Callithrix jacchus: one gene and its partners. The protein of the gene in region 3 interacts with the protein of the main gene of each other region in a pairwise test. Links are inferred from orthologs where the notes say so. Each region holds a gene or a part of one and is shown on either strand. Other genes may lie near its edges.

The links.
Region 1: the proteins of KRT40 (region 3) and FARS2 interact in binary tests that used the Homo sapiens proteins (3 or more experiments, as listed by UniProt). The two-hybrid records come from large-scale screens. The link is inferred for Callithrix jacchus from reciprocal best matches to the Homo sapiens genes KRT40 and FARS2.
Region 2: the proteins of KRT40 (region 3) and DOCK2 interact in binary tests that used the Homo sapiens proteins (3 or more experiments, as listed by UniProt). The two-hybrid records come from large-scale screens. The link is inferred for Callithrix jacchus from reciprocal best matches to the Homo sapiens genes KRT40 and DOCK2.
Region 4: the proteins of KRT40 (region 3) and ATPAF2 interact in binary tests that used the Homo sapiens proteins (3 or more experiments, as listed by UniProt). The two-hybrid records come from large-scale screens. The link is inferred for Callithrix jacchus from reciprocal best matches to the Homo sapiens genes KRT40 and ATPAF2.

Annotation. Positions count from the first base shown.
Region 1 is NC_133505.1:25,185,496-25,193,339, forward strand, and holds the start of FARS2 (phenylalanine--tRNA ligase, mitochondrial), read right to left. Parts: upstream 4,628-7,844; 5' UTR 4,487-4,627; intron 4,080-4,486; 5' UTR 3,894-4,079; intron 1-3,893. Other genes in the region: LYRM4 (LYR motif-containing protein 4), read left to right, coding at 5,390-5,475. UniProt on the Homo sapiens protein: Is responsible for the charging of tRNA(Phe) with phenylalanine in mitochondrial translation.
Region 2 is NC_133503.1:61,931,160-61,938,559, forward strand, and holds part of DOCK2 (dedicator of cytokinesis protein 2), read left to right. Parts: intron 1-3,034; coding exon 3,035-3,170; intron 3,171-5,557; coding exon 5,558-5,633; intron 5,634-6,585; coding exon 6,586-6,662; intron 6,663-7,209; coding exon 7,210-7,335; intron 7,336-7,400. UniProt on the Homo sapiens protein: Involved in cytoskeletal rearrangements required for lymphocyte migration in response of chemokines. Activates RAC1 and RAC2, but not CDC42, by functioning as a guanine nucleotide exchange factor (GEF), which exchanges bound GDP for free GTP.
Region 3 is NC_133506.1:92,275,932-92,280,175, reverse strand, and holds the start of KRT40 (keratin, type I cytoskeletal 40), read right to left. Parts: upstream 2,801-4,244; 5' UTR 2,760-2,800; coding exon 2,313-2,759; exon of another isoform or gene 1,618-2,312; coding exon 1,535-1,617; exon of another isoform or gene 904-1,534; coding exon 747-903; intron 1-746. UniProt on the Homo sapiens protein: May play a role in late hair differentiation.
Region 4 is NC_133506.1:69,115,276-69,123,160, forward strand, and holds the start of ATPAF2 (ATP synthase mitochondrial F1 complex assembly factor 2), read left to right. Parts: upstream 1-2,948; 5' UTR 2,949-3,104; coding exon 3,105-3,237; intron 3,238-7,885. Other genes in the region: GID4 (glucose-induced degradation protein 4 homolog), read right to left, coding at 2,202-2,639. UniProt on the Homo sapiens protein: Plays a role in the assembly of the F1 component of the mitochondrial ATP synthase (ATPase).

The DNA of each region.
Region 1 (7,844 bases), on a different chromosome or scaffold from region 3:
TCATTTGGGACTCAGCTCATCTCGTGCCTAACACATATGAAAGTCCATGTATCACATTTCCATGGGATCTCCCTGTTCTCACCCTCATGCACTCTACAGATCTGGCCAAAGCCCCTCCCAGGTCATGAGTGTTTTTCTCTTAGACCTCAATCAGGGTTTCTCTTCACCCTTTCAAGGCAAAGCGTAAATCGTCTTCCACCTACAGTAGCCATCTTACCACCACACACCCATTCAAATCCTTCAATTCCTTTCAAGGCCCAGAAGAAACTTAAATCTTCTCAAGCCCAATACAAACATTACCTCCTCCATGAAGCCTCCTGATTCCTTCATATCAGTGTTTCTCAGCCCTGGCTATACCCAATCATGGAGGAAACTTAAAAAACAATTAAACAAAAATCTCTGAAGCCTGGGCCTCAGCCCTGCTGTTGGTCTGAGGTGTGGCCCAAGCATAAGGGATGGAAGTGACTTCTTACACTGAGACCCAGTGACGCTTCACCAGCCCTTTCCTTGAAGCACTTTGTATAGGTTGGTGCAAAAGGAACTGCAGTTTTGATCATTACTTTTAATGGTCAAATCCCCAATTACTCTTGCACCAACCTAATATCTCCTACTCCTTATTTTAATTATATACAAATGTATTTAAAGTATAAACTTCTGGAAAACGGGATCCATGTTTGATTTCTACATCATCCTCAAGTTATCATTGCGAGAACAGAAACTTGAACTACCAGGCTGCCGGCTATCTTTTGAATGCACAAATAAAATTTCACTGCCTCTCAAATATAGGATTCAAATTCATGATCTGAAACAAAAGGCTATCCATACCTGAATAAATAGTTTCCATTTCAACAGCTCAGCTGTTAAGCTATACTTATATGACTCAGCCAATGCATAATGGAAGAAATGATTTATTCCAGAAATAGGAAAAACATCACTAAAATAAAGTTAGTGCAGGGCTAACCACTTCTGCGGTCCCTCCCTTCCCACCTCCTACCATCCTAAAACACTTAGAGTTCTCTAAATAGATCAAGCACCCTTCTGCCTCCATGCTTGGAATATACAATACAATCTTTAACCACATTCCTCATCTGGCTCTTACTATTCATTCTAGAAACACCTATGATGGAAAGCCTTCCCTTAGGTGAAAGTCCTAGTTCAATATTCCTCTTCTGTATTCCTTTAGTATTTGCTAAATTATTGCTCTTATCACAGCAACTGTCAAAAAGAAATTATTGGCCAAGTGCCACGGCTCACACTTTATAGTTATAAGCTGAACTCTTTGGGAGGCCAAGGCAGGAAATGCACTGAGGGGTTTGAGACCATACTGGACATCATAGTGAAATCTTATCTCTACCAAAAAAAAAAAAAAAAGTTTTCTAATTTGCCAGACATGGTAGCATGAGCCTATAGACCTAGCTACTTGGGAGGCTGAGGCAGGAAAATCACTTCAGGAGTTTGAAGTTTAAATGAGCTATGATCATACCCCTGCACTCCAGCTTAGGAAGCAGAGCGAGAACCTGTCTCTATAAATTATTGTTTGGTTTATCTAATCACCTACAGGTTTCTTAGGGGTGGGGAGGCTCTCATCACTGTAACTATGTCATCTTATAGTTTTGTCCTCATATGTTATGGTACTTATTGGCCAGGCACCGTGGCTCACACCTATAATCCCCACACTTTAGGAGGCCAAAGCAGGTGGATCCCCTGAGGTCAGGAGTTCGAGTCCAGCCTGGCTAACATGGTGAAACTCCATCTCTACTAAAAATACAAAAAATTAGCCAGGCATGGTTGTGTATACCCGTGATCCCAGCCACTTGGGAGGCTGAGGAAGAAGAATCGCTTGAACCCGGGAGGTAGAGATTGCAGTGAGCTGAGATTGCGCCATTGCACTCCAGCCTGGGCAACAAGAGTGAAACTCCGTCTCAAAAAAAAAACAAAAAACAAAAAAAAATAATAAATTATGGTACTTACGAAGTCTTCAATAAATGCTGAAGGAAGGAAGGAATGAGGAAGGCTTGAGTTTGTTCATCTATACAAATGAATGAGTTGATATATAAGGTCTTCCCCCTTCATATTCTATTAAAATGAAGGATCAATGTATAATACTTAGATTCATGTCTGGTGTAGGATAGAATAATTTTTTTTCTTTTGGTTTTTTTTTTTTTGGAGAGGGTCTCACTCTGCTGCTCAGGCTATAGTGCAGTACCGTGATTATGGCTCAACACAGCCTCGACCTCCAGGACTCAAGCAATCCTCCCACCTCAGTCTCCTGAGTATCTGGGACTACACGCTGTCTCCTGAGTAGCTGGGACTACAGGCACCTGCCACCACTCCCAGCTAATTTTTGTACTTTTTGTGTAGAGATGAGGTTTGCTATGATGTATTTTTTTGTATAGATGGGGTTTTGCCATGTTGTCCAAGCTGGTCTCAAACTCCTGGGCTCAAGTAATCTACCTGCCTCGGCCTCCCAAAGTGCTAGGATTACAGGTGTACAGCACCATGCCCACCTGAATAATTTCTAAATAATATCATAAGTTACTATTTCTATACAAATTTTACTCCATACATCACTTTGATATTTAAGCTTCAGGACAGTAAATTGTTGTTATGCTGTTTATTATGATTTGAGAAATTTCTCTTCACACAGCACTAGGTGGTCATGGACAACCCTAATTTTAATAGAAGATAATACAAGATTTTACATAAAGAACTATAGTTACTTGATAACTTTGGATAAACGAAAAACGAATACTAAAGAAATTTTTATGTTTTGATTCCTAAATGGTACCTCCTATTGTAGATATTCCCTAAGAAAAATTTCAACCCAGAACAGAATGCATGTTAAGGAACATATGGGTATGGTCCATTCTTCAGCTTCTGGCCCATTCTACTTACAGTCTCAAATAGAGTTACTTTCTTCTTTTTTAAAAACAAAAAAAGGCATCTCCACAATAAAGATATGCAAAAGTGAGATGTAGCTTTTGAATTAATATTTTCTATTAGCCTCTCAAGGCAATGATGTCCATCAAACTGGTAAACCATTTTAAATAAAATAATGAGGTATTTTTGTGAAGACTTGGCTCAGAATTAACTGGGAAGCTATCGCTTTCCTAACTGCAACCATTGCTTGTACTAACAGAGGACAAGGCTACCCAAACTATCTAAACTATACATATTTACTTGGAAGTTTTATTTGATTACCACAAAGTTGAGTCATTTAGATACATTAATTATATACATTAATGATTAAATTCCTTAATAGGTTGAAACAATTGTAACTGGCTTACTGCAACCTCCACCTCCCAGGTCCCTGATTCTCCTCCATTAGCCTCCCAAGTAGCTAGGATTACAGGCACGAGTCACCAGGCCGAGCCAATTTTTGTATTTTTCAGTAGCGTGTTGTACTGGCCCGAGCATAGAAAGTTAACACCAAGACAAAAGTATGCCAAATTGCAGGGTCTTAATTGCCGGCGGTCACGGAGGACTCTCGTCTCTCCAACCCGTGGCCCTGAAAGGAGGGTGTCAAGAACTTTTACGCCTGTAAACCACCTTGGGGGTGAGGGTGAGGGGCTTTAGACATTCCAAGGGCCAGTGGATTCCGTAAATTACCTCTGGGGCGGAGATGAGAGTGAGGGGCTCCGGACATTCCCAGGGCCAGAGGGCTTTGGATATTCCGATTGTGGCTTAAGCGGTTTACAGAAGTCAAGATAAGTGTTAGTTTACACGTTGTCTGGATATGGGTGGAAATTACAGACCTTAGTTACTTATTACAAGTCGCAGGGGCCAAGATGGCGTGGGTTTGGACTGCTTGCCTGTCACATCAGGGTTACAGAGAGCAGTTTCAACACAAAGCCTAGGTATGGTTGAGGTATGCAGCTTTATGGGGCTTTTACCATGTCACAACGACGGGGTTTCACCATGTTGGCCAGTCTGGTCTTGAACTCTTAACCTCATGATCCGCCCGCCTCGGCCTCCCAAAGTGCTGGGATTACAGGCGGGAGCCACTGCGTCCAGCCCTTTTGTTTTTACGTATAAAGGTACTCCTCACTGTGCTTGAATGCAGAAAGGTGTCGTTCTTCCTAAGGTTATGTAAAGCAAGATTCCAAAAATAAGAAAATTGCTTTGCGAACACAGTACTAGAATTGGCTGAGGCTTCCCTGCCTCCAGTCCCATGCTCAAAAATTAGAACAAGCAACTTTATCCACCACTTTAATAAGGTAATTCAAAAAAGTTTAGGTCAAGCCATGGGAGAAAACTTGCTCTGCTTCTTGGAGAATACCTAAACCCCTAAAGGTCTCTAATTATTCTCCGAGGTCTACAGCCAGGCTGCATTTTACAAATTTATTAGTTTACAAAACCACGGGGACACTTCACTCAAAAGCAAATCCACATCAGGAAAGAGGAAAAAAATCCACGGCCAATGTAAACCCCCTACCACACCAACTGCCCACGTCGCACCCCAGGCTGCAACGAGGCCGGCACTCACCCACCGCTCTCCCGGGAAACCCAGACCCAAGTGTTTCAAAATCGGAAGCGTGGCAGGCTAGTTCGCTCTCAGGGCAAGAATCTTAAACCCCAACTGAAGAGACACCCCTGTACGCTGGGCACCGCCATTTTGACAGAAAGCGGGCCTGTCCCGCAGGCCCCTATGCAGGTCGCCCTGAGCAGCGCCGGAGTACCACAGAACCCCTGGCTCATCACCTCCACACCCAGACATCGCGCCTCCCAACATAGAGAAGGCCATGAAACCCCATCCAGCCGAGCAGGATCGGGCGAAGTCAAGTCACCCTTGAAATCCCGCAAGGCCTCTCAGGCAGCACTGAGGGCGGCCGCAGCCAGTGGGGGCGGGGAATCGGCGGTCAAGGGCGGGCCTTCGGCGCGGCGGCCTTCGGTAACCCTGGCAACGCAGCCTCCTGGAGGTACTAAGGGCCGCTGCGCCTTGAAACACAAATGTCCCCTCCAAGACCCCGGACGGTTCGCAAAGGCTCTCCGTGGTGCAACTGCAGTTCTCTCGGATGCTCGCGCCTCCGATCTTCGTCCCCCAGGGGCTTGGCTGGATGCCCCGACGGCCAGGCCTCTAGTTTCCCCGCCTTTCAGCCGCTTGGAGCGGCTGCTGGGTCCAGAGCCTCCAGCCGGGGGCTGGGCGGAGCGGAGGCACCTCCCTCCAGGCACCGCCCCCTTAGCTGCCCCGAGGCCTGCCTGTGCCCGCCTTGGAAGAGGCCCGGGATGCCGGGTGCCGTCTGCGGTCCTCAGGGGTGCCCGCCTAGCTGGCAAGGCCGAGCCGCCGCACTTTATTTCGTTCGTAGTTTCTGCACAGGCTGAAGTTCCGTGGGTTGGGCTGGACTTGGGACCTCTCCGAAGAGGACCCGTTTGTTTTTTTCTTTCCAAAATGGCAGCCTCCAGCCGCGCACAAGTGTTAGATCTGTACCGGGCTATGCTGAGAGAAAGCAAGCGTTTCAGCGCCTACAATTACAGGTGACGCGGCGGTCGCCGGGGACCGGGGGCCGGGGGCCGGTGGCCGGGGGCCGGGGGCGCGGGCTGCCGCGGAATGTCCTTGGAACCACCGTCCTGCGCCGGCGGCCGCGAGAAAGGGACCGGGTTCCGCCATAGAAAAGCGTGCTCCTGCCTGCAGGTGTGGCCTCTGAGACCTCGGGGAGGAGCGGAGGGCTTGCTCTTCTTTCTACCAGGGAAGACGTTCACGTCTTATAACGTTTTCCCCCTAAAGTCTACCTTGGTTGGTGCTCTCGGAGCATGATTAGTGTTATGTTTCTGCAGAAGAGAAAAAAAAGATGGAAATCAGCCATTGGTGAAGTTAAGGCCAATATGTTGCATACGTAAAACTTCCCTAGAGCGTGGAAATGGCCAGTGAGTAGCACACAGCTAAAAAGCTTAAGGCACACGCTAGCACCTCCCTAAAGTTTCCCAGGTGTCGTAAAGAGTTCTTTTGGTTGCCAGAATCAAATCCGTTCTATTTAGGGTACGATGGAAAGGCTTAGCGGTAAAGGAAAAAGGACCTCACAGGCTTTGGAGCTGAAACCTCAGTTTATCCTGGCTCACCAGACAGATCCTGCTTATTGACCTTGATAGCAGGACACTGAGGGTCTAAACTCTTACATCTTTAATATAACACATTCACTTTTTTACATGCCTCACCATTCCCCTATTTGCCTATGATTCTTTTTCTGTTGCTGCCCAGGCTGGAGTGCAGCGGCGTAATCTCAGCTCACTGCAACCTCCGCCCCACGGGGTTCAAGTGATTATCCTGCCTCAGTCTCCCGAATAGCTGGGATTACAGGCGCCCGCCACCACGCCTGGCTAATTTTTTGCATTTTTAGTAGAGACGAGATTTCGCCATGTTGGCCAAGCTAGTCTCAAACTCCCAACTCAAGCGACTCACCTGCCTCTGCCTCCCAAAGAGCTGGGATTACAGGCGTGAGCCACCGCGCCCGGCCTGTATGGTTTTTTCTAATTCAGAACCTCTACTTTCACTTTGTTGCTGCTTCTGACCCATCATTTCCTTATGGATTCTCTCTGCATTTTTTTCAGATGTGTTGTTTGGTTTGGTTTGGTTTTGACTAACTGCTACTCCTCTCTGATTTTAAGCCATATTCCCCTGAGAAAAAATCTGACTCGATCAATCATGTCTTTACCCCAAGCCTCACTTAGGTGACTGGCCAGCCTATGGACTGGATGTCATAGGAGCAGAGCCTACCCTTGGAACACACCTGGTTAGGTAGGCTCCCCTCTACCAGGTGTGTGAGTTGGCAGACCGACCTGAACAACCTCTGTCAGAAGAAAGGAACAGTAAGCCTCTTAAGCAGTGACTCTCAAATGTTTAGAAACCTGCTTAGAAAACATGTTCATTCTGCAAATTTGAGAACAGCATCTAGGTCATACCCCTGAAGTCGTATCCACCCAGTTAAGTGGTTAAATTTCACCGGAGAACATGATTTTACTTAATGACTTTGACTTTGGAGAGTAATGAGTGTAATAATAGGCATACTGGTGGAATTTTTAGCAAGATTAAACAAACACCTAGCACCAAGTACTTAACCAAGTCTGTTGAGGGAACACATGAAATATGCACGTTATATACATAGAAACCATTTGATTTCACCATAGTCTGGAGGAAGATACTTTGTTATTTAGACTGAGGATACCTAAGGACTTGGAACCAGCAGGGAGTTCACACACTAAAGAAAATGGCAGGGAGAGGGTCTATGTGAGAGCATGTAGAAAGTCAAGGTGGAACCCTCAAAGACTATAACTTGGACTTGTCACTCAATCTCTGTTTTTCAGAGCTCTTGTTTGTGAAATAGACTGTTGGACTAGACAGTCTCTAAGGACCCTTCTATTTCTGAAATTCTCTTTGGAAGTGATTTATGAGCAAATGAATCCCAATTATTTTCAAATGAGTAGTTGCCAACTGAACAGGAAAATCATTCAAGAAACTCAACAGGAAAATTATTCAGACTGCAGGAAAATCATTCAAGGCTGTACCTGAAAGGCAGAAAATTGAAAATGGCTTTCAGTATGGACAACTGTAAGATGATATACATTCAGAAAATAATTGGTCAAATTATACTTAAACATATAATTTTCAGCTAAATTTACTACCCAAATATAAATGTATTATTCAAAGGAGTCTGGTAATCATTTTATACTGTTGCCTGAGATCATGGACCTAAAAACTTAGGTTTCTGCTACTGTCATCTCCCAAGATAAACTTACTTGTTATAAAATATGTCCTTCTTTTACATTAAGGCTGTGTCTTGTGGATTTCAAGAACAGTCCCTTCCCTCCACTCTAATCTCAGCAGCTATTTGTCACTGATGGCAAATCAA
Region 2 (7,400 bases), on a different chromosome or scaffold from region 3:
GTTGGTTTCTTCCTAGGCCTCTTGCCGTGGTTCGCAGGTGGCTGTCTTCTCCCTGTGTCTTCACTGTGGTCTTCTCTCTTGTGTGTTTGCCCTAATGTCTTCTTATAAGGACACCAACCATACTCCCCAAACGACCTCTTTTTAACTTAGTTACTTATTTAAAGACCCATCTCCAGATGCAGTCACATCGTAAGACACTGACGATTAGGTTTTCAAAATATGAATTTGGGGTGTTAGGGGGGCAATTGAGACCCTTAATGTCTAGGAAGCTTTTGGGTACCAGGGCCTCTGTGGCTCTGAAATGCCTCTGAAAGGCAGCAATCTAGATATTTCAAAAATATGAAGAATCCTAAGTGAGGAGAGAAGGTATTAGGGATGGAAGTCATTATGAAGGCAGCAGGATTCGAGTTTTAAGGATGGAAAGGATGTGGATATGTAGAGGACAAAGAGGCAAGCATTGGAGGGGAGGTATGGGAGCAGTGTGGTCAGGAAGAAAGATCTAGAGTTGGAAGTGAGCATTGTGTGTTTATGGAGCAATAAAGAAATCTTGGTGACAAAAATAACCTACTTATATTCAGATAGTCATGGGGAATCAATGGGCTAGGACAGCTGGATACATTAGTCTAGGTCCTTTCATACCAACTGGAAAGAGTAGATAGAATAGGGTAGGAAATAGGGAGCTATTAATGTTGTTAGGGGGCGAGAAATGAAGTAATAGACTTGAATTCTCAAGATGAGTTTGTAAGAGATTTCAGAGTGGTTTGGAGGAAGGAGTCGGGTAGGCCACAGACAAGGTTGTTCCAACCATCTGGATGTGAAATAATTGGGATCTCAAATTCAAATGCCTGCAGAGCAAGGCAAGGGATACAGATGATGGAGGGGCTTTCTTAGCCTGAAAAGCAGATGTCCATTCCTGCAGCTGGTGGATGGACAGCCCTTATGCCAGTCAGGGCTCTCTGGGGAAGGAGAACCCATGGAATATATGTTTGAGATCTGAAAGGCAGGCTGGAAATTCAGGCAGGATTTCTATACTACAGCCTTGAGGCAGAATTCCTCCTTGTCTGGGAAACCCCAGGTTTTGCTCTTAAGACCTTCAGCTGGTTGGATGAAGCCCATGGGCATTGTGGAACATCATCTCCTTTGCCTAGTCAACTGGTTTTAGATATTAATCAGGTCTACAAAATACCTTCACAGCAACATCTAGACTGATGTTTGACCAAACAGCTAGGCACTACAACCTTGCCAAGTTGACATATAAAATTTAACCATCACAGTCCCCAAGCAGGAAGGTGTGGACCACACTGGGGCCTTGCCTTGTTCCCAGAGACATTACATAGCCCCACTCCCTTCCTCCTGTACCAGCGTAGTGAGAGGCTAGGGATGGCTGCTCTGCCTCAGCCCTGGATCTGATGTGAGCTGACAACTTGTTCCCAGAGCATATGCCCACAGGAGAATTAACTTGAAGGAGAAGAAACTGTTCCCTTTTGAGACCTGGCCCAGGGCACTCTGCTCTGATGGCAACAGCATGCTTTGTCATTTCTTCCCTAGCTGATCCTCACTGGCAGGGGGCCCCAGGATCACTGAAGCTTTTAGAATTGAGCAGACAGTCAGGAGTTCCCTCCTGCATGCCCTTCTGATGATAAGTGAGCTGTACTGTAATAGCTACAGTTATGGTCTTTGGTGTCAGGGTCTGGGTTCAAAACCCAGTCTCATGGGCTATGGTCATGACCTTGGGGACGCCTCTTAGCTTCCTGGTGCCTCAGTTTCCCCATCTGTAAAAGGGATGTAATAACTGTGTATACTTCAGATACTTCAGAAATCTGAGGGATTGCATATGATGATGCATGAATCACTTAGCACAGTGCATGAGACATGAGTACATTTCACTAGTTTTGGCTTTTCTAGACTCAGCTGAGCTGGGTCCGGTGGCTCATGTGTATAATCCCAGCACTTTGGGAGGCTGATGTGGGAGGATTTCTTGAGCTCAGGAGTTTGAGATCAGCCTGGGCAACATAGTGAGACCCCATCTTAAAAAAAAATTAACTGGGCATGGTGACTAATGCCTGTAGTCCCAGCTACCCAAGAGACTGAGGTGGGAGTATTATTTGAGCCCAGGAGATTGAGGCTGCAGTGAGCTGTGATCATGCCACTGCCCTCTAGCCTTGGCGGCAGAGTGAAACTCTGTCTCAAAATAAAACACAACACAACACAACACACACACACACACACACACACACACAAACACACACACAGATAGTTAAGTGCAGTTTCCTGACCCCTTGAAGTCAGATGTGGCCACATGCCTTACTTTAGCAAATGACATGTAAGCAAAAGTGATGTACATCTCTCCTGAGTAGATGATTTAAGAGCCAGTAAGTGATTTGCCACATTCCTTTCCCCTGATGCAGAGACAATGAAAGCACCTGCGCTGAGATTGAGCTGCCAGCCAGGGGCCCAGAGTAAGGAAGAGATGAGAGTCCCTACCCCTCTGCATTGTAGACTGCACTAGAAGAAAACTTCTGTGTTATAAGCTCTGAGATATTGGGGTTCTTAGTACCATTTTAACCTGACTGATGGCCACACTTTAGGTGTTCAGAAAATGGTAGCTGTTACGATTTTTCCCTCTTCCTTCTGCCTTCTCTCTCTGAGGTTCTGAGCAATGATGTGACTGATGGTATTACCCGACTTATCTGTAGCAAATGCTACTTTTGAATCCATCACCTTGCGTATGGAAATACCATCTGTACAGCTGATATTCCACCTCTACCCTTCTCTTGTCCTAGCATTTTGAGAGGGAAGACTTGGGATTAAACACTAGAGTTTGATGGCTCATTTTCCTTTGCAAACCTTACCTTGCTTATCTGTAAAATGGGTGTGAGAACCTTGTTTTTTCTACCTTTTCCAGGACTTACTATATGATTGGTCCGTGTATAGCGAGTATTACGGACACCCCTCAGAAATTAATCTTACTACTTGTCTACTTTTTTTTCCCATTCAGCACATGATGGGTAATTTTTAATTTCCTTCTCCACAGGATCTTGGAAACAAAGACCTCAACAGGGATAAAATTTACTTGATTTGTCAAATAGTTCGGGTCGGAAAGATGGATCTTAAGGATACTGGCACAAAGAAGTGCACACAGGGACTGAGGAGGCCCTTTGGGGTGGCAGGTAAGGGACATACTGCACCATTAATTTTTATTGCAGTATACATTTTATGTGGCTGAATTTTAATGAATATTTCTTTCCCACCCTCCTCCCCCACCCCTTCAAAATTTATGCCAGACAGCCCTTAATAACTATATTTTTGGTGACTAAATCAAAATAATTGGTGACTAAGTCCAGATTTATGATGAAAACAGTGAATCATGAGCTACTCTTGTCTGGAGCAGAGCATGGGGAGACCGATGCCGTCTGAGCAGTTGGTGCCTTTGCTCCCCAGCTCTGTGAAAAAGGAAAAACAATACAGGCAGGATCTAATTATGAGGAGCAAATCATTTAAAAAATATATCTAGGACAGGAAATGGAGTTACACAGAATGAGTCACCTACCACACATCGAAATTCCAGATGGAAACGGACATTTGAAGAGTTGGTGTGACCCGAGGCAGAGCTCATCATGAGGCTGCTACACAGCAATGTCAGCTCTGTATTCTTCTCCAAGCTTTAGCTCTCTTGGGGTTTCTAAGGCTTCATCCTTCTAGTCCTACTTTTATGGTTTTAGTTATATTTGACTACCACTTGCACTATAATTTATCTATATTTTCTTTTAATCAACCTACTTTATATAATGTATGTTTTTCGCCAATGGCAATTTAAATGTGTGAAAAACAGCAATTCGATATGCCAGTTTTATTCTTTTTATTAAAATATAAATTTTTAATAGTATATTATTTCTAACCCCTGTGTACCATAGCTAAGCTCAGTGTTACAGGTTTTTCATTTCCAGATGCTCTGATCTGTAATCACAGACCTGCTGATTCTCCAACTAGTCCCCTGGCACTGCTTGCAAAGTGGGGGAGTGAAGGATGTTTTACCGAGCTCACTGGTTTTTTTAACCTGGCACTGTGGCTAGCTAGCCAGCCAGTTATGTTGGGTAAGCGTTTTCCCCAGGGCCTTAGATTTATTATGTGCAAAATGAAGGACTTGCACCTGGTTAATTCATGAAATCCTCTACTGCTCTGATTCTACTTGTGGGGCATTTCTGACATCACAGTGTTTCCGTTAAGGCAGTGAGAATCCTTTAACCTTACTGCAAAGTGTGTCTTTGTCCTCAGCTGTAGTCTGCCCTATCTTGGGTGTCAGGTGACAAGATCTGATCTAAACTAGTAGAAAAAGAAAAAAAGGTACTTTATTAGTGTAACTGAAAGTCTTATGAATAGATTGCTTCAGGCATAGCTGGATCCAGGAACTCAAATCAATTTGTCTCTTTCTTGCTCCTATGTCCTCATGCTGGCTTACTATGAAGAATTTGTCTCTTCCTTGCTCAGCCCCTATGTCCTCATGCTGGATTGCTAATAAGATGGCTGTCCAGTGAGTTGGCAGATTATCAGCCAGCTGTTCCAAGCTTGCATTCTACCAACTTAGAAACCTAGTGGAAAGAATGTACCTCTTTCCCATTAGTTTCAACAGAAGTCCCAGGAGCTTTAATATAAGTCACCTGCTCATCTCCAGAGCATTTACTTTGGGCAGGGAGAGATGATTCTCTGGTCTGCCATGTCCTATGAACAACTCTGGAGCCGAAGGGAAATTGCCCTGCCCAAATCACAGCACTGAGGATGGATGAGGAGAGTCTGTTAGATGGGTGCTCAGTTTCTCCTCCTGTCTTCTCTGTGACTCCCTCTCTAACTAGATGCAGTCAGGGTTTATTACCGAAGCAATTTTAATGGTCCTCTATCCAGTGCCTGGAGTGTTTGAGGTATTTTCTGTAACTAGGGTATGGGCTCGTTGGAATAGCTTTTCTCAGCCCTCTCCTCCACTCCAATTTCTAGAATCCCCATTCCAGTGTAAGATTTCTTTACCTTGGTTTTGGGGCCTTTAGTGGCTGAATTAAGAAGAGGTTTCAAAGGATCCAGGATCCCACTGGAATCATAGGACTGGAGGATTCTACTGTTATGTGCCTGTACATATGAGTATGCTTATGAAAAAAGGGTGAATATTTCATGAGATTCACAGATCCTACAGAATCCCAATCACTGCTCTCCAGTTTTGTAGGCACTGTAGTCATTCAATACATACGTGTCAAATCCAAATCTGAATTCCACAGCCCCAGCTCTGACTCGTTTCCTTTGGCCTCTGTTAAGCCGTGGTGCTCTTGGATGCCTCCCTGGCCTGCTGACCTCCCAGTCTGCTTTGCCTAGAGGTATTTGCCCCAATGCTGCCTGCCAGGAAACTCTGATGCCTGTGTATTGTGCAGCACAGGATTGCTTGTCATTTTAGGCCCTCCTGACCCCCAGGCAGCCTAGGCCCTACCTCCTGTCCCGCAAGCTCATCCCACTGTCATCCCTTCCAGGGAGCAGGATGAAGTTAAACCATTAATTCATTCTCTCCTCTTTCTAGTTATGGATATAACAGACATCATCAAGGGGAAAGCAGAGAGTGATGAAGAAAAGCAGCACTTCATTCCTTTTCACCCGTAAGACATTTGCCATTTCTTTCCATTCTCTTCAACCACACCCTTTCTCATCAAGGGCTGCTGGAGCTCAGAGTGCACTGGTTCCCTGAGTTAGTGATAGGCAGGTGGAGCCTCCTTAGGGGAGTGCAGGGTGGAAATCATTGGCTCAGTGCCCAGGCACTCAAAACCAAACAGCTCTTCACCTATTCATTCATCAGATGTTATTTATTCCACAGACATTTATTGGCGGCCTGGCAGAGGCCGGCACTCTGCTAGGTGTGAAGGATGAAGTACTGAACAAGATGGACCCTGTCCTCATGGAGCTCATAGTATAGATGGGGAATTAAACAGATAATCAACAGAAGATTAAGCATTAATTACAAGTGCAGCGGAAGCCACGAAGCTGTGAAGCAGCAGAGTTTCAGGAGTGTGTGGCAGGGAATCCTAACCCGGCTTTTGTGGATGGATAGTCATATTCATGACTTAGGAGGAGGGTAATAAGGAAGGTGAATGTCCCCTCCTCTCCTGTTCCAAAAGGAGTCTTCCAGAAAGCAGGGGCCCAGTTTGAGAGCATCATTAGTACTTAATAACCCTATGGATGGGCTAGGTAATGAGGCTAGTGACTTTGCTGAAGATGTGTGATTACGACTTAGCAGGAGCAATTCAAGTCTTCGCTCTTGCTGAGCAGATAAGTATGTTGAAAGTTTTGGAATCCTACCATTTAAAGCAGATTCCTGGAGAAGAAAAAATGACCTCTACCTGTAGCATCGATATTCCCAAATTTCAGAACCACATTGCTTTGTGATTACAAAGTGCTGTGCCTCATGATGGCAAGTATATACCCTGAGCTGACACACGCAAGCTCACTTTTCACCTAAGGCATGTGGAGGGGCTGGGGAGCTCCCTTCAGGGGCTCCTTAAAACACAAGTGAGGGCACCAGGTGCACATTTCATACTCTCTTTTCCTTTCCAGGGTTACAGCTGAGAATGACTTCCTACACAGCCTGCTGGGCAAAGTCATAGCCTCCAAGGGGGACAGCGGAGGGCAAGGTATAGTGCTAACGTGCCGATGGACTAGGCTTGCTCCAGCTTAGGAGCCCCTGACTCTTTAGCAAGTGAATCAAAATCCTGACCCCTGGGATACTTAGCTTTCCTTTCAGACAGACCACTGGGAAGAATGGGAACATATGATCTATAGGGATAGAAGTCACATCTCCTGAAGCAAATTGGAGGCATGTCCTTGTGCCCAAAAGAAGAGAGGAACTGATACACCCTGGATATCTCCTGTGTTCCAGGCACTTTAATAAGTTACCTTGTTTGATTTCATTCTTACCCCAGGCCTGTGAGATAGGTGGTATCCTCACTTTGGGTTTAGAGAAGTTGGGTAAGTTGCCAGAGGCTGACACTGCTAGAAATTAGTAGGATTCAGACCCAGAGATCTCCTGTTCCAGGCCTCGTGGGTTGGGTGGCTGCATCTTTGGTTGTATGACTCTGTTCCCAGTGATCTCCAGAAAGACAGAGGAGAGAAGTGGTGGGAAGGCAGACTGAGAGAACACTAGGAAAAGTGGGCTCTTCACGGTAAGCTGTTCCTTTCCAGGTCTCTGGGTGACCATGAAGATGCTGGTGGGTGACATCATTCAGATCCGCAAGGACTATCCACACCTGGTGGACAGGACCACTGTAGTAGCCAGGAAGCTGGGCTTCCCAGAGATCATCATGCCAGGTGAGACACAGCTGTTCTGACCTTCCCCTGGGGACATAGGGGCCAATTCAGCTTGTCTGATACAT
Region 3 (4,244 bases):
TTTGGAGTAGTGGGTAAAAGTGTGAGATTTTTATTCAGATTGCCTAGGCTGAATCTCTTTTCACCACTTACAAGGGTCTCAGTTGCTTCATCTGTAAAATGGGCATAATAATTGGACATTTCTCCCAAAGGTTATTGTGAGATCTAGAAGAATTAATCTACATATAATTAACTTATAAATGTCCTGGCACATAGTAAGTTCTCGATGAATGTTAGCTATGATTGCCATCAAAAAATGTTCAAAGAGCAAAGTAATTTGTTACGTCATTCAGCTTTTCATTTTCTAGCTTTATTAATATATCAATTGCTTTATATTTTATGAGTTTTAAAAGTTTATAAATGTGGAATATTTAAAAACACTGGTCCAGATAGTGCACGGGTCTTTCTCTCTTTTTGAAATGGCCTTCACAGTCTGTTTCTCAGCCTGATTTTTATAGCCGGTGGATTGGAATTAGGAGTGGCATAAAACCTCCAAGGAAAGCCATTTGTGGAGTTATTCACCTTCTCCACAAAGGCAGGGGCAGGAGAAGAGTTTGATTTCTTCGTCTGGCACTGGCCAGGGGTATTTCACATCTTAATTCAGAGACACACTGGAATGATCAGGCTGAGCAGTAATAATGCCTTGAGCAGTTTTAGTCTAGCTTAAGCAACATCTGCCCTAGTTCTATTCACAAACATCAACAGATCATCTGTCAGTGTAACTATGTCACTCTTGGAGTCCTTCAACGGAGTTGCCACTTTCCTTACCTCTTCATGGGTTTTCTTAAGGCAAAGAAGATCTTCCTTCAGAGACTCCACATGGGCCTCCAGGTCGGATTTGCACAAGGTCAGCTCATCCAGGATTCCATGCAGGCCGCTGATGTCAGCCTGTAACAGCTGGCGAAGGGACAGTTCACTGTCGTACCTTTCACAGCAAAAGAGAAATCCAACACTTATTCTGTTGAATGCTGTGCAAAGTGTGAGGATACATGGAGGATCGACATATGAATTTCAGGAAGCCACATGCAGAATTTCTCTTAATTCCTGAGTAATGATAAATTCAAGCTTTTAAGACATTCTTAACTTTAAGATATTATATAGAGAATATTTGTGTGTGTGTGTGAGAGAGAGAGAGAGTGTGTGTGTGTTTGTGTGTGTGTGTGTGTGTGTGTGTGTGTGAGAGAGAGAGAGAGAGAGAGAGAGAGAGAGCGCCATAAATTATTTTCAAAATAAAATTAAGCCTGGGTGTGGTGGCTCATGCCTGTAATCCCAGCACTTTGGGAGGCCAAGGCAGGCAGATCACCTAAGGTCAGGAGTTTGAGACCATTCTGGCCAGCATGGTGAAACCTCTTCTCTACTAAAAATACAAAAATTAGCTGGGCATGGCAGCACATGCCTGTCTGTAATCGCAGCTACCTGGGAGACTGAGGCAGGAGACTCGCTCAAACGCAGGAGGCGGAGGTTGCAGTGAACCATGATAGTGCCACTGCACTCCAGCCTGAGCAACGAGGGAAACTCCACCTCAAAATAAATAAATTAAATAAAATTCAACTCACTTTGACTTAAAATCCTCAGTGGCCAGTTTGCAGTTGTCAAGCTGTACAGCAAGTCTAGAATTCTCTGCCTTCGTGCATAAGATCTGTGAAGAAAGTCCTTATTTAATAAAGTATTCTTTGAGAGAAACCTAAATAAACTACTATCCAACAGCTATGCCATTAGTTATCCTTTGAAAGTCTTTATAAGAAAGTGTAAAATGGCCGTTAGCTGCTTTCCGTATTCACCGTGTCACTTGATGAAGCAAACAAGCAGTGCCAATTCAGAAACAAAATAGAGACATAAAAAGGTTCACTTTTTCTCATAACATAAGACATTTTGCACTATTCCTAGGCAGTGGAACGCCATTAACGTTTTTCTCCATCAGTAGTTTGTATTATGACTATACCCTCTCCCATAATGGAAATTCATCAGGGAGAGAAGAAAATGACTAGGTGGTTAAAAAGATGGCATTTCATGATCTGTGTTCAGATAATATAAATGTTCAGTGTCACATACAAAAGCGATTTTGGATATAACACAGTCTTTTTGCATTCTATAGATGACGAAGGAAAAGTCCACAGACAAGTTACTTTGTTATAGTTACTCAGTAATCAGGGGTAGCTTTAGGGGTGGGACTGAGGTTTCCCGACTTCCAGCACAGTGCTCTTCCCTATGTACCATTAACTTGTAGAACTCTCCTTTCTCTTGGTTTCCTTCTGTAAAACAGCACCTTCTAGTAGAAAGATAAAGCAAACCATAGATCGAGAAGCTGGAGCACTAGGGCAACAGGACATGCACCTTTTGTTGGAGATCTTCAATGGTGTTGAAGTAACACTGATAATCGGGACATGCCAGTGGGATATCCTGTTCACATTGCTCTTGGATCCTGGATTCCAGCTCTGCATTGGTCTCCTCCAGGCTGCGCACCTTCTCCAGATAGTTGGCGAGTCTGTCATTCAGGAACTGCATCGTCTCCTTCTCATTGCTAGTGAACACTCCATCCTCACACCAGGCACAGTTCCCCACCAAGCAGGGACTACTACAACTCCCAGTAAAGTAGCATGGCAGGAGGCAACCGGTCAGCCCGAGAGACCTGGAAAGGGAGCTAGGGGTCTGACATCGGGATGCAGCACAGGAACCGGGGAGACAAGCTGTCTCCATGGAACAGCTTGAGGCAGGTGCACAACAGGAAGCCCTGGTACAGGACTCAGGAGAGCAGAGCGTGGAGGAGCAGTCAGAAGACATCCTTCTAGAAGCAAAGACAGAGACTGGCTGCAAAACACCAGTTGCCTTGACTCCAAAACACTCCTTCCCTCCTGAGAGTTTTATATAGCGCCCCCTCAAAATGGGTGTTTACAGACTGCACCGGATGTTTTCGTCATCATTGATGGTGCCGGTTTTTATACAAACATCTCATTAGAGTTGTTTATTTACTGAAGAAGAGTTGTATGCCTCATAAAAGGGGGATAACTTTAGGTTACCAAAGCAGGGCCCACACCATTTCCATGTGCAAGACAAAACACTTATTTCAGAAAATCATCATAGGAAGCATTGTCTTTTTGACAGAATAAGAAAAGAAAGAGAACATTTGGCCAATCAATAATTATAGATACAACTCATTACAAATCAGGAAATTAATATTCCCACAGATTTTGATTCTGTGCATTGATTGCTTGTGTCTTCTTTAAAATTAGTATTACGGCTCATAAAAGGACATTCATTTGTTTGTCCACCACTATAAAAATGGTCAGTGTGGTTAGCAATCTTCCAGTGCTTTTTGTGATCTTAGAGCATGTGCTGACAGGACTGGAGAAGTGAGGTATATACTGGGTTTAAAGAGTGTGAGTGTGTGTGTGTGTGTACAAACCATGTCTACCTGCATACAAATGGAAAAGTCTCTTTACACAACTGATAGGAATAACTTGTTTCCTGTAAGTTAAAATATATATTGGTTAGAGCTGGAATTATGATCTTTGACTTCCTGAAACTTGCCTTCTCCACACTTCTTATTTTTAGATAAGTCATACAATTTTACCTGTATTCCTAATAAGAGTGAAATATAAATTTTCTAAGTTATAATCTTTTAGTCCCTTGGGAATTCCTCAGTGATTATACTTCAGAAAAGAGGGAGGAACCCACAGGAGTCTTTGCTTCTGAGATGTATAAACATACTGGAACTTGGGAAATAAAATTCTATTCAGGTTCCAAATGACTAATTCCACTGGTTGAAATCTCTGATGCCAAATCTGACAGATAGGAGCTTGAGATGTGTGACTTTTTTGGATTCTCTCTTGAATTTCACCTCCGTTATGAAGTACAATCTATTTCACTTTGCTTAGCGTTAGTCATGACATGTATTTCATTTTCAAAGGTGCACAGAGAAAATTGCCTCTAGAATTTTTAAGAACATTATAGGAAAAAAACACATTAATCTGAAAAAGTTAAAAAATTTATGATCCAAAATAAACTTATTTCTTCTCCTAATCTTGAGTGCTGCTTCCTGGGTAGCTGAGAAGAGAAACCAAACCAAACCAAGCCAGAGAACATATGTAAGTGAGTTAAAATAGTCTCTTACTCCCTGGGCAGAGTTGAGTTTGAATTTAGTGATTCTCTTTACACATCAACACTTATGAGAAAAGTTTTTAGAGTGCTTCATGGTATGCTGATGCTGCTTTGCAACAAACACAAGTTCAAGGATTCAAAAACACTTTCAAAAAAATCACAACTCTC
Region 4 (7,885 bases), about 23 Mb from region 3:
TTGCCTAGGATTGAAGTGGGCGTTATGGCTAAGGGGTACAAGGTTTCTTTTTGGGGTGATGAAAGGTTCTAAAATTAGGTTGTGGTGGTGGTTTAACAAATGTGAATATACTAAAAACTACTGAACTGTACACCTTAAATAAGTGAATTGTATCTAAATAAAGAAAAAGGGAGGGTGGAAGGGAAGGAGGGAGGGAGGAAGGAAGGAAGGAGAGTTGTAAAAGGCAGAAGTATTTTGTGTCTAAGAAGGCTGTATCTGAGAAACTAGTCCTGACTGAAAAACCAGCTGATGGGGCAATTCACATACCACTAAGTAGTCGTGATGATGACCAAGCAGCTCCCCAATCCAGATGTAGGGCAGCATTCCTTGGCATGACCACCATCCCCACCAGCAGACTTCCTACTCAAGTGGCTCCCAGCCATCTGCCAGGTTTCTGCTCTGAGCTGCCTGAGACCTATCAGCCCTGTCCCAACTCAATCACCGCTTCCACTGGTTCACGATTCTCCTTCTGACAGGAGCTCAGAAGTGACACCCAAATGACAGAAGGGAGCAGTAGTTGCTGCAGTTGTCAAAGCAGACTCCCCTTTGACACCTGGCTACCCTGCCAATTATCCCCTACTACATGAGAAACCATCAAACTCAACAATGGGGACAAATCCAACACCATCCCAAACATGACCCACCCTGGGTTCTCACCTCCAGAATTCTGATTAGGTGCAAAACAAACCGAAATGATGTTCACATTTTAAGAAAACAAGAAGAGGATCACCACATTAGGCATATAGTTATGAAGACAAAAATATTTCAACCACAATAGTTTTTCCATTATAATAAAGATTGTGGTTCATGTTAGAACTTTACAGACCAAAGATAAAATTAACATGATGATGCTGTTTCAAGTAAGCAGAGAAAACTATTTACTCCCACACAGCAGTATGAGAATGAAAGAGTGATGCCTGCTCTGCAGATAGCAGAAAGAAAAGGCACCCTCATTGTCTTTTGAATGGGATACCTACTCTTCAGAAGTAAAACTAAGATTTAGAGTTTTAACCCGTCAAAAGGCAAGCTTGAGGAACAGATACACTGTACATTTCACCCTCACACCCGGGGGGCAGTATTTCAGCTGGCAAAAAGTGTCAGGCCTGAGAGGAGTGAGGTGTGGGAAAGGCCCACACAGGTGAAGCTGTACTTCCAAGGCTGATCAGGAACTGGCAGCAGGTATTCAGGAATCCAGGTCAAATGCAGGGAGGCTGCTGGACATGAACTAAAACTGGGTGAGTTAGATTTCCCAGTACATGGGTCTCAGACACTGGGAGGAAGCCCTGTGCCTGTGTAGAGAAAAGTTAAGAACAGCAAACAGGGTCCCCTGGAACCAGGATCGAGCAAGACGAAGATATGGGGTGGGGAATCTGGACAGATGCCAGGAAGATTAGAAGACTGCAAGTGGTCCCAGAGCAGGGGCAGGAGGCTGGGAGGTGGAGCAGCTGGAAGGGGCTGGGTGCCTGGAGCATGAAGAGAGGGAAGCAGCGAGTGGAACAGGGGACCCAGGAGGCAAGATCCCAGCAGACTGTGAGCAGCACTCAGGGAGTGAGTGTCTGGTCTTGAGGTGGGGCCAGGGCCTGACCAATCAGTGGTGCGTTTGGTGTTCCCCCGTCTGAGGGGTCTGATGAAGCCCTCCTAAGGAGATCTCAGGAAGAGGAAGCCCCCAGGGTCTGCGGATTCCTGGGACTGAGGAAGAGGCGGGAGGGCAGGACTCAGTTCTGAATCTGACATGGGCCCAGACACGGGGAGTGTCCAGAGTCTGGTGAAACCAATGGAGAGTTCTTCAGGGTCTGAAAAGGGCTCGTGGCAGTCCCTGATGTAGGGACGGCAGGTCATGAGGAGGGAGGACCCGGGCCTTCCCCGAGTCATGGGGGCTTCCGGATCCCGGACCGGCCGGTCACCGGCTTCAAGTCTGGGAGAGTGTTCGGGGTCCGCCAGAAGCGGGTCTTGACGGGCTCTGGATCTGAGGGGGCAGGTCAGGGCTGGGGCTCGGAGAGTGTGAGGCACAGGCTGGGCAGGTCCCGGGTGGGAAGCGCCGGGTGCAGGAGGCCCCGGCGACGAGGGCCTGCTCCGCGGCTGCCGGCTCGAGGAGCCGAGACGGGCACGGCCCGTGAGCGCCGCGAGGAGGCCCTCGGGCCCCGGCCCGGCCCGGCGCTCACCTGCAGCACCACCTCTACGTCGTACGAGTTCCCCTTGCTCTTCTGGTGGCCGCGGAACTTGGAGCCGCTGTAGAGCAGGCTGGTGGCCACGCCGGGCTGCTGGGTGTTGATGGGCGGCGGCGGGATGAGTGAGGCCGCGGAGGCAGCCGAGGCACCGGCTGGCGGGGGACACTCGGTGCGGACCGGCATCGCGGGGTCCCCCGGAGCCAGGGCTGGGGGGAGTGGGAGAGGAACCGCCGCCGCCGCGCGGGAGCCAAGGAGGGTGGCTGGGAGGGAGAGGCCGAGGCGCGCACGCGCAGGGTGGGGGCGGGAGGGGCGACCACCCGTCCGCTGTATGCAAACTAAGCGCTTCGGCCGCCACCGCGACCCAGGGACCTGAGAGCAGGGCCTCCCAGTCCTGAGCTGGGTCCCCCTCCCGACTTGCCCTCGCGCACACATACACACACACAGACACACACACACACACACAGACACACACACACACGCACGCGCGCGCACGCACAAACACACACCCCGCCCCTTCCGATTGGCTCGGGCGAGCCGGTGAGGGCGGGAACAGGTTTACACGGCGCTTCCACCCATTGGCGGGAGGAGAAAGCACGTGGTGGGGTGCGCGAGCGGCCCGCTGGGACTTGTGGTCTTCTCGCTGAGGCGCGGCGTGGAGGGGGCGGAGCGAGGCGCGTTTGTGATGCTAATTGACTGGGGGTGTGCGCAGGAGGCGTGCGGCGGCGACGGCACGCCGTTGGTGTCATGTGGAAGATGGCGGCATCCAGGGGAGGCTGCGGGCTCTGAGGGGGCGGTGAGAGGTTTCCGTACAGCCCGATCGTGCGGCTTTGGAGGTCCCTTCGCTCCGTTTCCTGCTCTAGGTTTCACGCTGCGCATCCTCCCAGACTATCGGGCGCGATGTGGAGGAGCTGTCACCGGCTGCGGGACGGGGGACGCCGCCTCCTGAATCGGCCTGCGGGTGGCCCCAGCGCTTCTAAGAGTCCGGGGCTAACCATCCTGTCTCCAGCCCGGGCTTACGCCCCGCCGACAGGTGAGGCCATGAAGGGCCGAGCTGGGGGTAAGGTGGAATTCGGACTTCTGCTGTGCAGGGCGGTGTGACTGAGGCAGGGTTCAGGCTCATGAGGTTATGCAGGCCAGTCGGGTCCTTTTACAGACGAGAAAGAGAAGCCCAAACAAAGGCAGACGACCCGAGGGGGAACAGCGCGTCCTGCACGAGACATTAATTGATATTTGGCCTGGGCAGCTTTTCTCAAAGCTTATGGCTGCCCTCTCTTTAATGAGGAAAGCAAGTGTCATCTTTGTTTTCCAAAGGGGAGGTTTGGGCCCTGAATCAGAACTTCGCCTAGGTTACAGAGCAGACTCGGGTTTCTGGAGTCTGACTGCTTTCTATGTCTCCACTGCCCAACATAAGACCTGCACAGAAGGGCCAAGTTCAATCAGTCCTCCATCCCGGGCACTTTAGCTGCAGGTTTCCTGACTTTCCATCCTGTGCAACCCCTGCCATCTGCAGCCTTCTCTCTCTCCTAAATAGAAATTGACACCTCCATCTCTGATTTTGGAATCACCTCCACCTCCAACTCTGATGAAGCTTAGAAGTTGTGGCTCTTTTGTTGCTGATAGTGAGTGGTGTTAGGGTGAGAGGGCAAATGACTCATTTCAGTGAAGGAAGAGCAGTAACACCCTCCCGCCACCATTCAATTACTTTTATTGTGCTGGGGGCAGGAGGCGCAGTAGTCTTTAAGACCCACCTGTATGTATTGGTAGAGAAGCTCAATTAAAGAAGAAAAGGCCCACCTGAATGATGTTGACTGTTCAGTGAAAAAGGTTATAATATCCTGATTAAACTATGGTTTATAATATCCTGATAAGGGACATACAAAGAAGCTGTGAGGACACGGAGAATCACCTACTCCCATCTTAGGGATGTTCAGAGTCTAGAACAAGTCTTGGGTGAAAGGCCATTTAAACTGAACAGTGATAGATGAGTAGGAGTTCAGCAAGGAGGTGGAAGACTGTTGGGTATCTAGAACATGTCCAGGGGTGACAGCAAGGTGTGAGGGACTTTTCCCTAACACTGCCTGCTTTAGAAAATCCAGAATTTCACAAGCAGTTTTGGCCTTGTGGCAGAAGTGGAAATCTAGGATCTGATGCTGGCTGAACCTCTGAGGTCTGTGTGATCTTGGGCATGTAACTACTTCCTCATTTTTCTCTGTGAGTTGAAGTACGATGTTGCCTTTGAGGGTCTTTCTGGCTGTCAGATTCTATAACTTTATAGAAATGGGGAAGGTGGCTGGATGCAGAAGGGTGCTGAAGTTTCTCCTGTAGGACTTGGGGGAAGGGCCAATAAAGAAGAAGAAAGGACATCCCAGGGAGTCCATAGCAAAGGGGACACATTCAGGAGTTCACCAAGTTGGAAAAAGCAAAGGGTTAATTAATTACTTTATGTATATATTTATTTATTTTGAGATGAAATTTTGCTCTTGTCTCCCCTGCTGGAGTGCAGTGGTGCAATCTCAGCCCACTGCAACCTCTGCCTCCCCAGTTCAAGCAATTCTCCTGCCTCAGCCTCTGGAGTAGTTGGGATTACAGACATCCGCTACCACGCCCAGCTAATTTTGTATTTTTAGTAGAGACGGGGTTTCACCATGTTGGCCAGACTGGTCATAAACTCCTGACCCAGGTGATCCTCCCACCTTGGCCTCCCAAAGTGCTGGGATTACAGGCGTGGGTGGGTTACCACGTTTGACCACAAAGGGTTAATTTAGATTCGTGGATGCTGTCTTTATATAATGATGGCACTTGATCCTACTGTTTTGTTTTCCTTTCCACTGCAAACTTACTAGTTTAGGCTCTTGGAAGTACCTGGCACATGATAGGTAGTCAAATGTGAAAGAAAATAGGAGTGAATGAATGAATGAAGAGGAAGGTGCATAAATCAGGTCCGTGTGTGCTCTACAAAGACCTTACCAGTTGTGAGATATTTATGTGTGTTTGTAGTAGAAGATTAAACCCAAGTAGGTTCTTCTCAATAAACACTTCAGTTAGCAAGCTGATTGAACTTGGCTGCTTAGGAATGGCCATGCCATTGAAGATCATCAGAAGGAGAAGAAGAGTTTAGGAAAGGGTCACTGAGGTGTTGGAGAAGGAGATACTACAACAAGAAGACCTATGTGAGTGGTTGTGGCAGTTCAGTTCTGCACCAGCTTGTCAGAGGTCTATTGACTTCCCAGACTGGGAGGTGTTCTGGAGAAACCTATCTAATCAGCATATCTGAGTGAATGCAACTGCCTAATGAAGTCAAGGCTAGAAGTCTTGTCTCTGCTATTTACTAGTTGTCATCTAGAGAAGACGTTAGGTTCTCTCTCACCTCCGAGGCATTAGCTAACTGCCTTGTCGTCCTCATAGGATAGTGGTGTGGATTGAGGAAGATTGTGTGGTCTGTAGATCAGGGTCCAGCCTGCCACCTGTTTTTGTAAACGAAGTTTTATTGGAACACAGCCACATACATTCGTTTACATATCATCTATGGCTGCTTTCACTACAGTGGAGAGTTGAATAGTTGGAACAGATATTGTATGACCTGCAAAGCTTAGAATATTTACTGTCTGATTCTTTACAGAAAAGGTTTGCTAAATGTGTAACATTTCGCCTGAAGGATTTTTAACAGCTTTATTGAGATATTTACTTGCTTTACAATTTCTTTACTTAAAGTGTAAATATAATCGTTTTTAGTATATTTACAGAATTGTACAACCATTGCCACAATCCATTTTAGAACATTTTTATCACCCACAGAAGAAACCTATACTCTTTTTAGCTATCATCCACCCTTACCCCTTCCATCTCTTGGCAACTACTATTTTACTTTGTTCTTTTATAGATTTCCCTGTTTGGAACATTTCATATAAATAGAATGTGGTCTTTTTTGACCCTTTTTTTTTTTTTTAAACATGGAGTTTCATCTTGTTGCCCAGGCTGGAGTGCAATAGCACGATCTCAGCTCACCACAACCTCTGCCTCCTGAGTTGAAGCGATTCTCTTGCCTTAACCTCCTGAGTAGCTGGGATTACAGGCATGTGCCACCACACCTAGCTAATTTTGTATTTTTAGTAGAGATGGGTTTCTCCATGTTGGTCAGGATGGTCTTAAACTCCTGACCTCAGGTGATCCACCCACCTCAGCCTCCCAAAGTACTGGGATAACAGGCATTAGCTACCGCACCTGGCCCTGACTTTTTCACTTAGCATAATGTTTTAAAGTTTGGGTTTTTTTTTTTTTCTTTTTCTTTTAAGAGATTGGGTCTCACTCTGTTGCCCAGGCTGGAGTATAGTGCCACAATCACAGCTCACTGTAATTTCAAACTCCTGGGCTCAAGTGATCCTCCTGCTTCAGCGTCCCAAGTAGTTAGGGCTACAGGTGCACACCACCATGCCAAGCTAGTTTTTTAGTGTTTTGTAGAGATAGGGTCTGCTCAGGCTGCTCTCAAACTCCCAGCCTCAAGTGATCCTCCTGCCTCAGCCTCCCAGAGTGTTGGGATTACAGGAGTGAGCCACCACATCAAACATTTTTAAGTTTTATCTACCTTGTATTATGTATCAATACTCCATTCTTCTTTATTGCCAAACAGTATTCCATTGTATATGTAGACCTGCCACATTTTACTTATCCATTCATCTGCTGGTGGCTGCAGGGTGATTTCCACCTTTTGGCTAGTATGAATAATGCTACTATGAACATTCAAGTACAAGTTTTTGTGTGGACGTATGTTCTCATTTCTCTTGGGTATATACCTAAGAGTAGAATTACTTGGTCAATTGGCAACTCTCGTTAACTTTTGGAAGAACTGCCAGACTATTTTCCAGGATGGCTGTGCCATTTCACATTTCCACCAGCAGTGCATGAGGGGTCCAGTTTCTCTACACCTCAACAACACTTGTTATTATCTTTTTCATTATAGCTATCCTAAAGGGTTTGAAGTGATATCTCATTGTGGTTTTGATTTGCATTTCTCTGATGAATTATGTTGAGTATCCTTTTACGTGTTTAATGGCTATTTGCATATTTTCTTTGAAAAAATGTCTATTCAGAACCCTTAACCATTTTCTTTTTTTTTTAAAGAGATGGGGTCTTGCTCTGTCACCCAGGCTATAGTGCAAGTGGGACCATCACAGCTCACTGCAGCCTCAAACTCATGGGTCCAAGCAATCTTCACACCTTAGCCTCCAAAGTACCTGGGAACTACAGGTGTGTTCCACCATGCCCAGCTAACTTTAAAAATTTTTTGTACAGACAGGGTCTTGTTATGTTGCCCAGGCTGGTCTCCAACTCCTGGTCTCAAGCGATCTTCCCACGTCAGTCTCTCATAATTGACTATTTTAAAATTGGGTTATTTTGTTGTTGTTTTTGTTGTTGACACAGGGCCTCACTCTGTTTCCTAGAGTGCAGCGGTGTGATCATGGCTCACTGGAGCCTCAACCTCCCAGGCTCAGGTGATCTTCTCACTTCAGCCTCCTGAGTAGCTAGTACTACAGGCAGGTGCCACCATGCCTGGCTACTTTTTGTATTTTTTTTTTTTTTTAGATGGAGTCTCGCTCTGAAGCCCAGTCTAGAGTGCAGTGGCATGATCTCAGCTCACTGCAGCCTCTACCTCCCAGGTCCCAGTTCAAGCAATTCTTCTG